Mus musculus: one gene and its partners. The protein of the gene in region 1 purifies or fractionates together with the protein of each later gene. This does not show direct contact. Links are inferred from orthologs where the notes say so. Each region holds a gene or a part of one and is shown on either strand. Other genes may lie near its edges. The genes, in order: Marchf5, Mfn1 and Mfn2.

What was found.
Region 2: the proteins of Marchf5 (region 1) and Mfn1 purify together in Homo sapiens (affinity purification with western blotting; 4 studies listed by BioGRID, with this or other methods). This does not show direct contact. The link is inferred for Mus musculus from reciprocal best matches to the Homo sapiens genes MARCHF5 and MFN1.
Region 3: the proteins of Marchf5 (region 1) and Mfn2 purify together in Homo sapiens (affinity purification with mass spectrometry; 5 studies listed by BioGRID and IntAct, counting the BioPlex papers as one, with this or other methods). This does not show direct contact. The link is inferred for Mus musculus from reciprocal best matches to the Homo sapiens genes MARCHF5 and MFN2.

Annotation. Positions count from the first base shown.
Region 1 is NC_000085.6:37,220,998-37,224,644, reverse strand, and holds the end of Marchf5 (E3 ubiquitin-protein ligase MARCHF5), read right to left. Parts: exon of another isoform or gene 3,569-3,647; intron 3,256-3,568; coding exon 3,139-3,255; 3' UTR 188-3,138; downstream 1-187. UniProt on the Homo sapiens protein: Mitochondrial E3 ubiquitin-protein ligase that plays a crucial role in the control of mitochondrial morphology by acting as a positive regulator of mitochondrial fission and as an important regulator of immune response.
Region 2 is NC_000069.6:32,528,305-32,532,426, reverse strand, and holds the start of Mfn1 (mitofusin-1), read right to left. Parts: upstream 2,946-4,122; 5' UTR 2,732-2,945; intron 530-2,731; 5' UTR 523-529; coding exon 411-522; intron 1-410. UniProt on the Homo sapiens protein: Mitochondrial outer membrane GTPase that mediates mitochondrial clustering and fusion. Membrane clustering requires GTPase activity. It may involve a major rearrangement of the coiled coil domains.
Region 3 is NC_000070.6:147,873,784-147,877,430, reverse strand, and holds part of Mfn2 (mitofusin-2), read left to right. Parts: intron 1-345; coding exon 346-480; intron 481-1,972; coding exon 1,973-2,042; 3' UTR 2,043-3,647. UniProt on the Homo sapiens protein: Mitochondrial outer membrane GTPase that mediates mitochondrial clustering and fusion. Mitochondria are highly dynamic organelles, and their morphology is determined by the equilibrium between mitochondrial fusion and fission events.

The DNA of each region.
Region 1 (3,647 bases):
CCCATGTCTGGTGGCTCACAATTACCTGTGAGCCACAAGGAATCTGGTGCCCTTCTGGACTCTATAGGCATTTGCACTCAATGTGCACACACCCACATAGAGATACACTTAACTAAAAATAAATATTTAAAACTTAACTTCAAAATAGTGAAATAAGTTTAGGGTTGGTTCAACAGACAAAATACACTTAGAGAGCATAAAAATTGTTTATTCAACCTATTTCAGCCAGTATTGAGTTTTCTATATTAAAAACAAGGAATTAGAAAAAAAAATACAGCAAAATTAGCAAGGCAGTGACTAATGAAGCCACTTAATTATATATTCTTCAACCATTTGGTAAGTAATGAACATTTTCAGCCAACTTAGATGGAGTTAACTTCTACAATAGAATTTTACTAATCACTGAATTCTAATTTTTTTAAAAAAAGGTTTAAATGTGACATTTCTAGGACAAAAAGAAAGGAAGGAAGGAAGGAAGGAAGGAAGGAAGGAAGGAAGGAAGGAAGGAAGAAAAAGAAAGAAAATCGGAGAACAGCATACTCACAAATCCTCAAGTCTGTGCTGGCTCTGTCCTCGAGGGCCCTACCCTTGGTTACTGCCCTGTCCTAGATGGGACGACCACCTTTAGGAGCTACTGAGGCCGAAAGTACCTGTCTTTTCTCAACCAAATCCTAGAAAGTGTCTAGGTGTGACTTGCATTTTAGAGATGAACGTAACTGTGGCTGAATAGCCACCTGGCCAAGGTTATACACTACAGCTACTAAAACTTGATGGGAGCTCAACGTAACCTATTCAGCTTTCAGTCTGCCCATGTCTTTTGATTTGTGGTTCCAGGGAGGCCTGTCATGTGGTGTTCAAATGCAGCAGGGCTAGTGTTCACTCTGGACTGCAGACAAGTGTGGCTCCCTCCCCATAGCTCTATAAACCTCTGCCTTCACGGGCCTTGATGCCAATAGATCGATCCAAGCAGCTCCCCACCCCCCACCACCACCCCGGAAATTAAAGTAGTACACAGGGAGCTGAGGGCTTGTGGCTGTGTAAAAGCTGCTCAACTTAACAGGAGTATCCAGGAAATGTCAGAATATATATATTTTCACACTGGCAATGATGGAAGCCAATTTCATAATTACAGCTGTAGATCTTAGTTATTTTTATATATAATCAGGGTTCACATTTTCTCTACAGAATAACAGCAGTGTTAAGGTTAACTCAGTCAAATTGCCCCTTATACCCTAGATAATTACAACTCTGGATGTTCAAAAGAGTCATTCCCACAGACACCGTAAAACTCAAAACTGAGATAACCAACCTAGAGAAAGATACCAGTCTTTACTAAAATATTTATTTACAATCTAACACAGCTCAATCTATATTTGTTACACTTCTAAAGAGAAGTATCCATTTCGCAGAAAGGGGGAGCATTATCATGCATCATATACTGTGAACAGCATTATTTTTTAAACTTTAAAAATTTTCATTCTAGGGGCTGGTGAGATGGCTCAGCGGGTAAGAGCACCCGACTGTTCTTCCGAAGGTCCGGAGTTCAAATCCCAGCAACCACATGGTGGCTCACAACCACCCATAATGAGATCTGACTCCCTCTTCTGGAGTGTCTGAAGACAGCTACAGTGTACTTACATATAATAAATAAATAAATCTTTAAAAAAAATTTTTCATTCTAATCAGATTGCTGAACATTGTAATGGTCACTATTAAACATGACCTAAATAATTGCTTTTGAACAATGAATATAAAACTAGTTAAACAATGACTAGTAAGGAGATCGCCCCCTTAATATGACAACTAAAATCTAAAAGGAGGGCTGGTGATGTAGTGTATACCTAGCATGTGTAAGGCCCTAGGTTCAATCCACAGCATTAAGTTAGAAAAGCAGGTGTTGTGGTGCTCACCTGTAGTTAGGAGGCTCAGGGATCAGGAGCTCAAGGCCACCTTCAGATACACAGGAAGTCTGAGGTTAGCTATGCTAGAGACCCTGATTCAAAAACAAGATACCCTAAAAACAGTATTGGCTATCCTATAAACAGATAAAGTGGAAACCAATGACCCTGATCAATACTCCATAATTACCTCACTGATATTCAAGAGCTCCCTTGGGTTCAATCAGTGCTTGTTCTATTAGACTGCAGACTCTCTGAACAAGTTCCCCAACTCTATCCCATAGCACCTGCACAGTGACTAGGTAAGTGGGAGCCAGTTAACAAATATCTGAATAACGGAATCAACAGAAACCCAATAATTTTATTATCATTTTTTGCAAGTTGTTCTCTGCTTAACCTATGAATCAGTAGTTCTAATTTGTAGAAATACAAATTTAAAAACATACTAAGTGATAAAAGGGCCTTCCACCTCATTTCCCTATCACTATCCTCTGCTTCCCTCCCTCCTACCTTCTTTCTGAAGTCCCCTTCCCCGCTCACACACACACCCTCACACCACACACACAGGACGACTACGAGTCAAAAGTACACTATGAACTATGAGATGTCAACATTGCATAAATAAAGTTTAATAGTGAAAAAGTGCTTTGGAAGCCCTGGAAACTGACCCTTCACATCTGAGATGTCACATGGGTTTAGGAAAAGAAAACAAAATCTCTTTTGTTCAGATAATCACTTCAATGCTGACATACATTTCTGGGTTTGTTATTTATTCAGAACTAGTTTACACTTCCTCCTGTTAACAGAGGCTCCTTTGTAGCATACAATCAATTACACCAATGAGAAAAGCCCTCACAGTTCCTTCATCGAGTTGCTATTCCTAAGAAAACACTGAACTGAGTATATACAAAAGAGGCGTCAGAATAAAACATGTCCACTTTTAATGTTTGTACAGTTTTATCTTTACATTCTTGTCTGGAAAAATATGAACAAACTCAGGTTTCCCATGCTAAAATAATGGTTTAGCCGACTGCCATAAAAGTAGAACATACAAATGACAGAGCTGACGCGTGTCCTTAGGTCCGTGATTACTGGGCGGCTTGCCCCGGCCCTGCGTGCTTTATTGTATCTCTTAGAATATAGGAGCAGCGTCACAAGTCTCCACTAGCGCATTAATGATGGAATCAGAACACAACAGACTCGTCAGGATGAGAGGCCTCAGAACAACCAGAAGTCAGTTTTATGCTTCTTCTTGCTCTGGATAATTTAGGATTTTGCGGTGTGCCTGACGTAAATATTGCTGCTGTTTGAAGTAAACCTTAAATGCTCCTTTTATGGCAACAAAAGCAATTCCACCCTAAAATAAAAAGGGAAATTAATGTTTTTATAATGCAGGATCAGATAAACAAGAAAAAGAACTTTACACCTATCACAAAAGACAGGATTTGAAGCCAAGTAAATGCTGATAATTACAAGTGAAACATTCTCTTCTGTGAGGGCAGAAGTTGGGAAAGAGCAGGCTTCAAGTAGCAAAGGAAGAGGCCCTGTTCCTACATCACTTGTGTAGCTTTCTTCCCATGGAGTTCTTACACACTGAGAGAGAGGAGAATGCCAGGCACTATGTGGGCTGCAACCAAGGAGGGCAAACAGGATGACAGGAAACAGTATGAGCCAGTTTCATCTCAGTTGTTTATTTATGATGCTGGTACTGGGGACTGAACCCAGAGCGCAGTCCAGAAGAGAAGGTAC
Region 2 (4,122 bases), on another chromosome or scaffold:
CATACGGAGAGGCCGGCTTCCCAGCTCTGTGACCTTGAGCAAGCTGCTTTGCCTTCACAGTGCCTTTCACTTACCTACTAACTAGTCTTAGGAGTAGTAAAGGAATTTTTACTACTGTAAAACACTCAGACTAGTACCTTACTCTTTTCTTAACTGTGAAATTGTTTTCACTCACTATGGCATAGTTCCCAGAATGCAGAACAATGTGAATTCCACAACTAAGCCTGAGCAGGTCACATACCTGTGTGGATGCAGAGGCAAGTGGAACAGAGTTTAAAGCCATTGGAAGCTACACAGCCATTTCAAGGCAAGTCTGATCTCAAAAGGGTAAAATAAAAAACTGAAGTGGAAATAATAAAGCACCTGCGTACACTTTCAACAGTAACCTTACTAGTTTAAGAGGTACCCACCTTCAACAAAATGTGAGCCCTCAGTAACAAACTCCAGTAACTGGCCGAAGATTGCAGTGATGGCTTTCTTTGCCAGCACAAAGTGCTTCAGTGGAGATACCGTTTCTGCCATTATGCACCTAGGTTGAGAAAAAGGTTAGAAAAGCAATAATTAAGCCGGGCGTGGTGGCGCATGCCTTTAATCCCAGCCCTTGGGAGGCAGAGGCAGGCGGATTTCTGAGTTCGAGGCCAGTCTGGTCTACAGAGTGAGTTCCAGGACAGCCAGGGCTATACAGAGAAACCCTGTCTCGAAAAACCAAAAAAAGAAAAAAAAAAAAAAAGAAAAAAAAGAAAAGCAATAATTAGCCTGTGGATGACAAATGCCTGGAGTCTCAGCTACTGGGGCAGGCTGAGGCAGGGGGTGCACTCACACCAGGAAGTCCAGTTTTACCTGGACAATGCGACATAGCAGGGCTTTCCTCATCTCCAAAGCTCTACTTAAACTTAACAATGAGGGGCTTGAAGACGTGATTCAGCAGTTAAAGAGAACTGGCTGCTCTTCTAGAGGACCCAGTTCTATTCCCAGCACCCACATGGCAGTTCACAACTGTCTTAAGACTCAAGTTCCAGGGGTTCTGATGTCCTCCTCTGGCCTCCACAGACACAGGTACACACATGGTACACCAAAATTTGGTTGCATATATATGCAATCAAAATACCCGTACACATTTAAAAAAAAAAAAAAAAGCTGAATGATAAAGGTGTGGTGTTACACACCTGTGATCCCAGCCAGGAGGAGGCTGAAGCAGGCCAGCCTTGGTAAACCTTGTTCAAAACGAAAAACTCAAAATCTCTCAAAACAGTTCAGGTGGAGGAGACTAAGTTCAATCCTCCAGAAACCAAGTGGTTGAAGGAGAGAACCAACTCCAGCAAGTTGTTCTCTGCCTCCAAACACCAACTGTGAAAGTCTACCGCTTCCACATATAAGTTAAATATAATTTTAAAAACCATATGAAAACAGGGCAGTGGTGGCGCATAGTCCCAGCACTCAAAGACAGCTGGATGTCTGTGAGTTCAAGACCAGCCTGGTCTACAGAGCAAGTTCCAGGACAGTCAGGGACACACAGGGAAACCCTGTCTCAAAATCAAACAAATAAAAAACAAAAACAAAAACAAAAGAAGAAGAAGAAGAAGAAGAAGAAGAAGAAGAAGAAGAAGAAGAAGAAGAAGAAGAAGAAGAAGAAAGAAGAAATGAAATGTGCATGCCTCCAGGGCTAGGCAGATGTCTCAGTGCTTTAAAACACTTGTTGCTCTTCAGAAGGACTTAAATTGGTAGCTCACAACCACCTGTAACTCCAGTTCCAGGGGATCTTATGCCCTATTCTGACCTCAAGGGCACTGCGCAGAAACTGTGGTGAAACATGCATCCGTATATGGAAGAAAAACATACACATTAAAAAATCTAAAAACAGAGCAAACATTTAAAATCATGCTTAGTCTGATACCTGCTAGTTCATGCCTCAATTTCCTAATAGCAAAAAATTAACCTGGCCAAATAGATAAAATACTTTTTAGTATTATTTATTTATTTACAGAAACCATGTTAGTCAGAAACCAAAGATTACTCTCGAGTGATCTCCCATTAAAAAAAGAGAAATTTGCCTCCTGTCATGTTACCTGTAATTCAGTTACTCAGGAGTGTCACACAGGAAAAGCTGAAAATTCAAGTCTACAAGAGGCAACAGAGTGAGATCAAGGCTTGCCTGGGTCTCTCAGTGACACTCAGTTTAGAAACCGGTTTAGGGATACAATGGCATTTGCCTAGCATGGGAGACCTGGGAGGGGCTCAATCTTCAATCCTGGAAGAGTAGATATGTAAATAAATGTAAAATCGGTAAAAGCTAGTAACAAAAATCTTGGTTGTAATCCCTAATTTATTTTCCTCGAGTGAAGATGAAACTAGTTTAGCTAAACTAAGTTTCCCAGTTAGCGAAGAAAATAAAAGAATGCCCAAGTCTTAATGCAGTACAGACACCAAGAAGGTAGCAGCTTTCGTCACAATTACGGAGTCAAGACTTAAAGAAGGCATGAAGGAAGGCTTCAAGCCAAAGTCCCCAAACTTAAAGGAATGTTGAATTTAAAGTAAAAGACGTTCTACCTGGAAGCTCCTATGAAAAGCCACCAAAGACAAGCACACGCTAACGCTGGTGTGCGTGAAAAGAAGCGCCGTGGCCACCAGGAGGGTGGCTCCCTCCGGAATCCTGAACTGACGGCGCGGAGGAGGTGCGTGGGGAGAGGAAGCCGCGTGGGCCGAGAGCCTGCCCAGCCGGGTGGATTCCTACCTGGACAGGGCCTTCCCTCAGGCTGGCCGCCCGTCGCCCTTGCCCGGCCCGCCGCCCCGGCCCGTCAGGGCGCTCGCGCTGCGCCGGTCCGGAGCTCGAAGGTCACCCCGGACGTCGCCACCCGCCAGCGGACACTCACTCCGTCCCTGCTCCCCACTGTCACCCAGCAACCACAGCTCCGCCACAGCCCCCTGGCTGTCTCATCCTCCCGAAAGAGGGGAGGTGCCCAGAGGAGGGGCTAGGGGCGGCTACTTCCGGCGCTTCGGATCTCCTATTGGCTGACGCTTCGAGACCAGAACTGCATATATTGCGGGCGCCATTTTCCTTCAGGGCTGAAGGCGAGGTTTGTTTTGGGCAGGAGTTCTTATTAACCACTGGGCTGTTTTCTGTTCCACCTTCCAACTCCTCCCCTTGGTTTTTCCCTTCAGAGTTTTCAAAGCTCAAAGGCGCCAAGTGTGAAAAGATGTCCATGGTTATCTGAGGGTGTAGGGGGAGAAGTACCCCAAAACCACATAGATGTTTATCATGCGGGGGGGGGGGGGGGGGTCGTCAAAACTTTGACTTTTCCAATTGCTCTGGTCTTGATTGGTTTTCTGGGGTTACTGGAGTGAGCTGTGTGTGTCTACTTACTGTAAGAGGTATTACTCAAGAAAATTAATTGTTCATGATTTAAACTTTGTTAGGAATCACCTGGGAATCTTGTTAAACCATTGATTGATTGATCGAGGGTGAAGCCCAAGGACTCTACATGTTCCACCTTCCAAGAGAGGTTTCACAGCATGTGTCCTGAGAGGTTCTTTACAGAGTTAGCAAATGAGATGCTTTTGCCAGGGAAGCCCCTTTATCCATATGAATGGCAGCTACCTCATCTATAAAATACTAAAAATGCCTACTTCATGAATTGTGGGAAAGTAAATGGGTTAGGGTGTAAAGTGCTTAAAACATTGATGGGCACCTGCAAAAGTTGGATAAATAAAAATAAAAGTTGGATAAAAAAGTTGGATAAATACAGTGAATGAGATCATTTCAGACTATGACTGCTATTATGGGGGGGGGGGGAGATCAGGACAAGAGGATAGAGTGAAGAAAAATGAGCAAGGTGGAGCCAAAGAGGTATGTGTTTTCTGAAAGGATGTCATTTCTCAGGTCATTTCAGGACTGTTACTGGGAATATCTGGAGAAAAACTGTCCAAGACACATAGGAAGGACAGTGCTAAAATGGATGAGTTAAAAAAACAAGCATGAGCTGGGCGTGGTGGCACACACCTTTAATCCCAGCACTCGAGAGGCAGAGACAGGCAGATTTCTGAGTTTGAGGCCAGCCTGATCTACAAAGTGAGTTCCAAGACAACCAGAGCTATACAGAGAAACCCTGTCTCCAAAAAAAACAA
Region 3 (3,647 bases), on another chromosome or scaffold:
ACACACACACACACACACACACACAGAGGACACTGAAACTTAGACTCAGATAAGGGAGATGAGTCCCTTCCTTGTCACTTAGTTGATGAGCATCAGTTAGAATCCTGGCCTCTTGTTTCCAGGTTAGGCTCACCACTGGGATGCTGGGGTCTTTGATGTGAGCATTGGGAGGTGTTGGTGGTTTCAGCAGAGGGGGAAAAGATCCCAAAAGCAGGACTGCAGGCCAGAGCAGATGTGGATAAGCTCTGCTCAGCTGCTACTCAGTTCTGTGTAGATTTAACCATGAATAGAAGAATCCTGCCTAAGCCGCCATGTGCCCAATTGATCCAGTCTCTGTCCCCTCAGGGAATTGTCTGGGACATTTGCTCATCTGTGCCAGCAAGTTGACATCACCCGAGATAATCTGGAGCAGGAAATTGCTGCCATGAACAAGAAAGTCGAGGCTCTGGATTCACTTCAGAGCAGAGCCAAACTGCTCAGGTGAGTGGCCAAGGACCAAGTGGGGGAGGTGGAGCTTGTCTGCCACCTGGTGTCTCCAGTGTGGACACTGGGTGCTCTCTGGGGATTTCGCTTTCTTGTGAGATGTTTGCTTGGCACTGCTGAACGTGGGATGGACAGTGCTAGTGCTGGAGGCTTAACAGACAGTTCCGCTGTCCTCAAGGTGCTTGCAGATGGGGCAGAATGACATCCAGGAAACAAGCAAGGCAGTGCTGGATGTCACAGCTCATGGGTTGCCCTCTGAACTTGGGCCTCAGCACTTGGCACAGCTGTCCCACCCAGTTTTTGTCACCCCTATAGGTCATCAGCTCTGCACATTTTGTTGTGTTTGAGACAGGATCTCTTTGTGGCCTTGACTGGGCTGGAACTTGCCATATGAATGAGGCTAGTCTCAAATGCACTGAGCTCCCCCTACCTCTACTCCCCAGTGCTGGGGTTAAAGGTGTGTGCCACCACACCCAGATCAGCTCTGCTTTCTAATAGGAAAGTTGGTAGCCATGGAGGCTGAGTCCCTTGTCTGGAGCTCTACAGGAAATGGCCAGATGGAACGTGGGGTGCAAATGGATTGCACTTTGGTTTCCCTTGCTCTGTGTGAGAGCTGCCATCCTATCAGTCATACTCAGTTCCATGCTGAGCCCAGGAGCTGGGGTGCGTAGCACCAAGTCTCTCCACAGGAACAGGATTGGTGGTCTCTTTAGAACTGTGAAGTTTGCTGGGAGGGGGGTTAGTTGAAGGAGTCTGGTTCTGTGTTCTGGCCTTGCACTCTTTCAGCTTTCCTGTGTCTCTCCTGTGGCTTTTATCTGTGAGATGAGCCACAGATGAAAATAGAAGTATTCTGCTAATTCCTTAGCCTGCTCAGGCCATGATAACATCAGTATATGGGGAGCTGCACTTCCTGCCCCCACCTCTGATGTCAGAGGCCCACGGGGGACAGAGCTAGATAATCAGAGGACTTGAGCTCTAGCCATGACAGATCAGTGGTCTTTCCCTCCTTTGTCTGGCCTACGCAATATGCACCTCTTGCCCATCACCAGGGATACACTGCTCTTCCACTGGGACTCTTGGGTCCAAGTGTCTGTTGCTACCTGTAGCAATAAAGATAGCCTGAGCTAACACCCAAACCTTTATCTGTCAATCAAGAAAGCTGGCTTCCAGAAACTGAAACTTGCTCTGGGCTGTAACCAAACTAGAAAAACCTAAAACCTGCAGTAGTGGTTCACTCCTAAAATCAGAGGACATAGGAAGGTAAGGCAGGAGGATGGCTGTGAGTTCCAGGCTAGCCTGGGCTACTTAGTGAGATCCTGTCTTAGTTCACTCCTTTTAAAAATTGCCTGGCTCTGTCCCATCAGCTTGTGACCTCCTTTTCCTTATTTCCAAAATAGGAAAATGTCCTTTTAAAGGATTGCATGAAAGTTCAGATAGGCTAGTGTGGTCTGCCATAGCAGCTGTCTGTACAGTCATCTTGTATTTGCAGGAATAAAGCTGGCTGGTTGGACAGCGAACTCAACATGTTCACACACCAGTACCTGCAGCCCAGCAGATAGTGGGCAGCCAGGGCGGACCTGCACGAAGAAGAGGCAGGGCCGCACCTCCCATCAGCTCTAGTCCTTGGCCGCTGCAGAGAGAAGGAAAGCACCCAGTCTTGTACCAGTTACTCCCTACCCCCTGCAGGAAGACCCCTGGCTCATACCCTAATGGAGACCAACAAGGACTGGACAGCTCGGCTCCAAGGAGTTATGCATGTGTCTGTGTCTGCTCCTCACGCTCACCCGGTTGAAAGTCACTGTGCATTTGATAAAGTTTTCCTCAGAATGGCACCCTGCAGAATGACTGATGGGCGCCTTCACAGGCATCAGGCAGCCACTCCTACTTTCTCCAGCCTGAGCACACCTACAGAGAGACAGTGTTGGGGGTGACAGGATGCCCCAGAAAAATTCAGGATACTTCTGAAATTGCCATGTTTGTCTCAGAACTTGTATCTTGCGTTTGGCCCTCAGCTTTAGCACTTTTTCCCACTTGCAGAGTCTTTCAGTTGTGCTTGGTAGCCAGGCTCAACACACCGGGGCTTTAGACTCAAGCAGCTTATATGGGAAGCTGGAGACCCCTGCCAGCCAGAGCACAGTAAGGGCTCGGAGAAGGTATGTGAACTAGGGTATCTGATGTGGTAGTGCAGTTGGTGTCTGGCATTGTGACGACAAGGGACTTGCCTCCCTTCTTGCCACTGAGGCCCTTGCTTTTCCTTCAGCTCTTGGCCTGTTGGTCCGGTTTATTAGTGAGAGCTAGTTTGCTCCAGGTGGTTAAAGGATGTAGCAGGAGGAATGGTGGAAGATGGGAGCTGCCCGGGTTAGTACAGAAGAGGTCTGTCTATCTGACCTAGCACTGAGGGGTTCACAAACCTGTGAGGTGCACCTCACTAATTTTGGCTCATCCCTGCCTTGCTACAAGCTCCCTGTGGCCACCATTCTCTGGACTGTACCGTGCTGATGACTGCAGCTGGCTACAAAACAGCATGAGAACCTGGCCGCTGTTCTCCTACTGCCTCCACCCTCAGGCAGGCCTCCTCCTCTTCTGCCCCTGAAGCCTCCTGCTGCTTGCTCCTCCTGCCTCCACCCTCAGGCAGGCCTCCTCCTCTTCTGCCCCTGAAGCCTCCTGCTGCTGCTCCTCCACCTCAGTCAGTGCTGAACTTCTCACTGTTGAGTGTTGAAATTGTTAATGGTCAAAGCAGGGAGGATGCCAGTCACCAAGGTTGATTGTCTTGGGAAAGCAGTTTTAGAGTGATGAATCCTTTGTAGGACAGGTAGAGAGTATCTTAGAGATAAAAAAATGGGCTATGTCCTCTCCTGCCCATGTCTTGTGCTCACTCGCCCCTCAGTCTACCCTTTTTGCTGGGACAGTGATGGTCTTGGCCAAGGTCAGCATGTAATGGAAAGACAGTGTATTGCCAGGCTGGATAGATGGGGTCATCTCACAGTGGGTCACGTGAAAATCAGTGTCACGTAGTCCCAGTGAATGTTGTGTTCTTTCTGGGGGGAGGGGGGAATAGAATAAACTCAAATTCTTTTTCAGTATAGCCCCTGAGTAATGAATGAAAATTTGAGCTTATGTAAGTAAAGATTCATTTATGCCACCAGGGAGAGCCTGTATCTGAG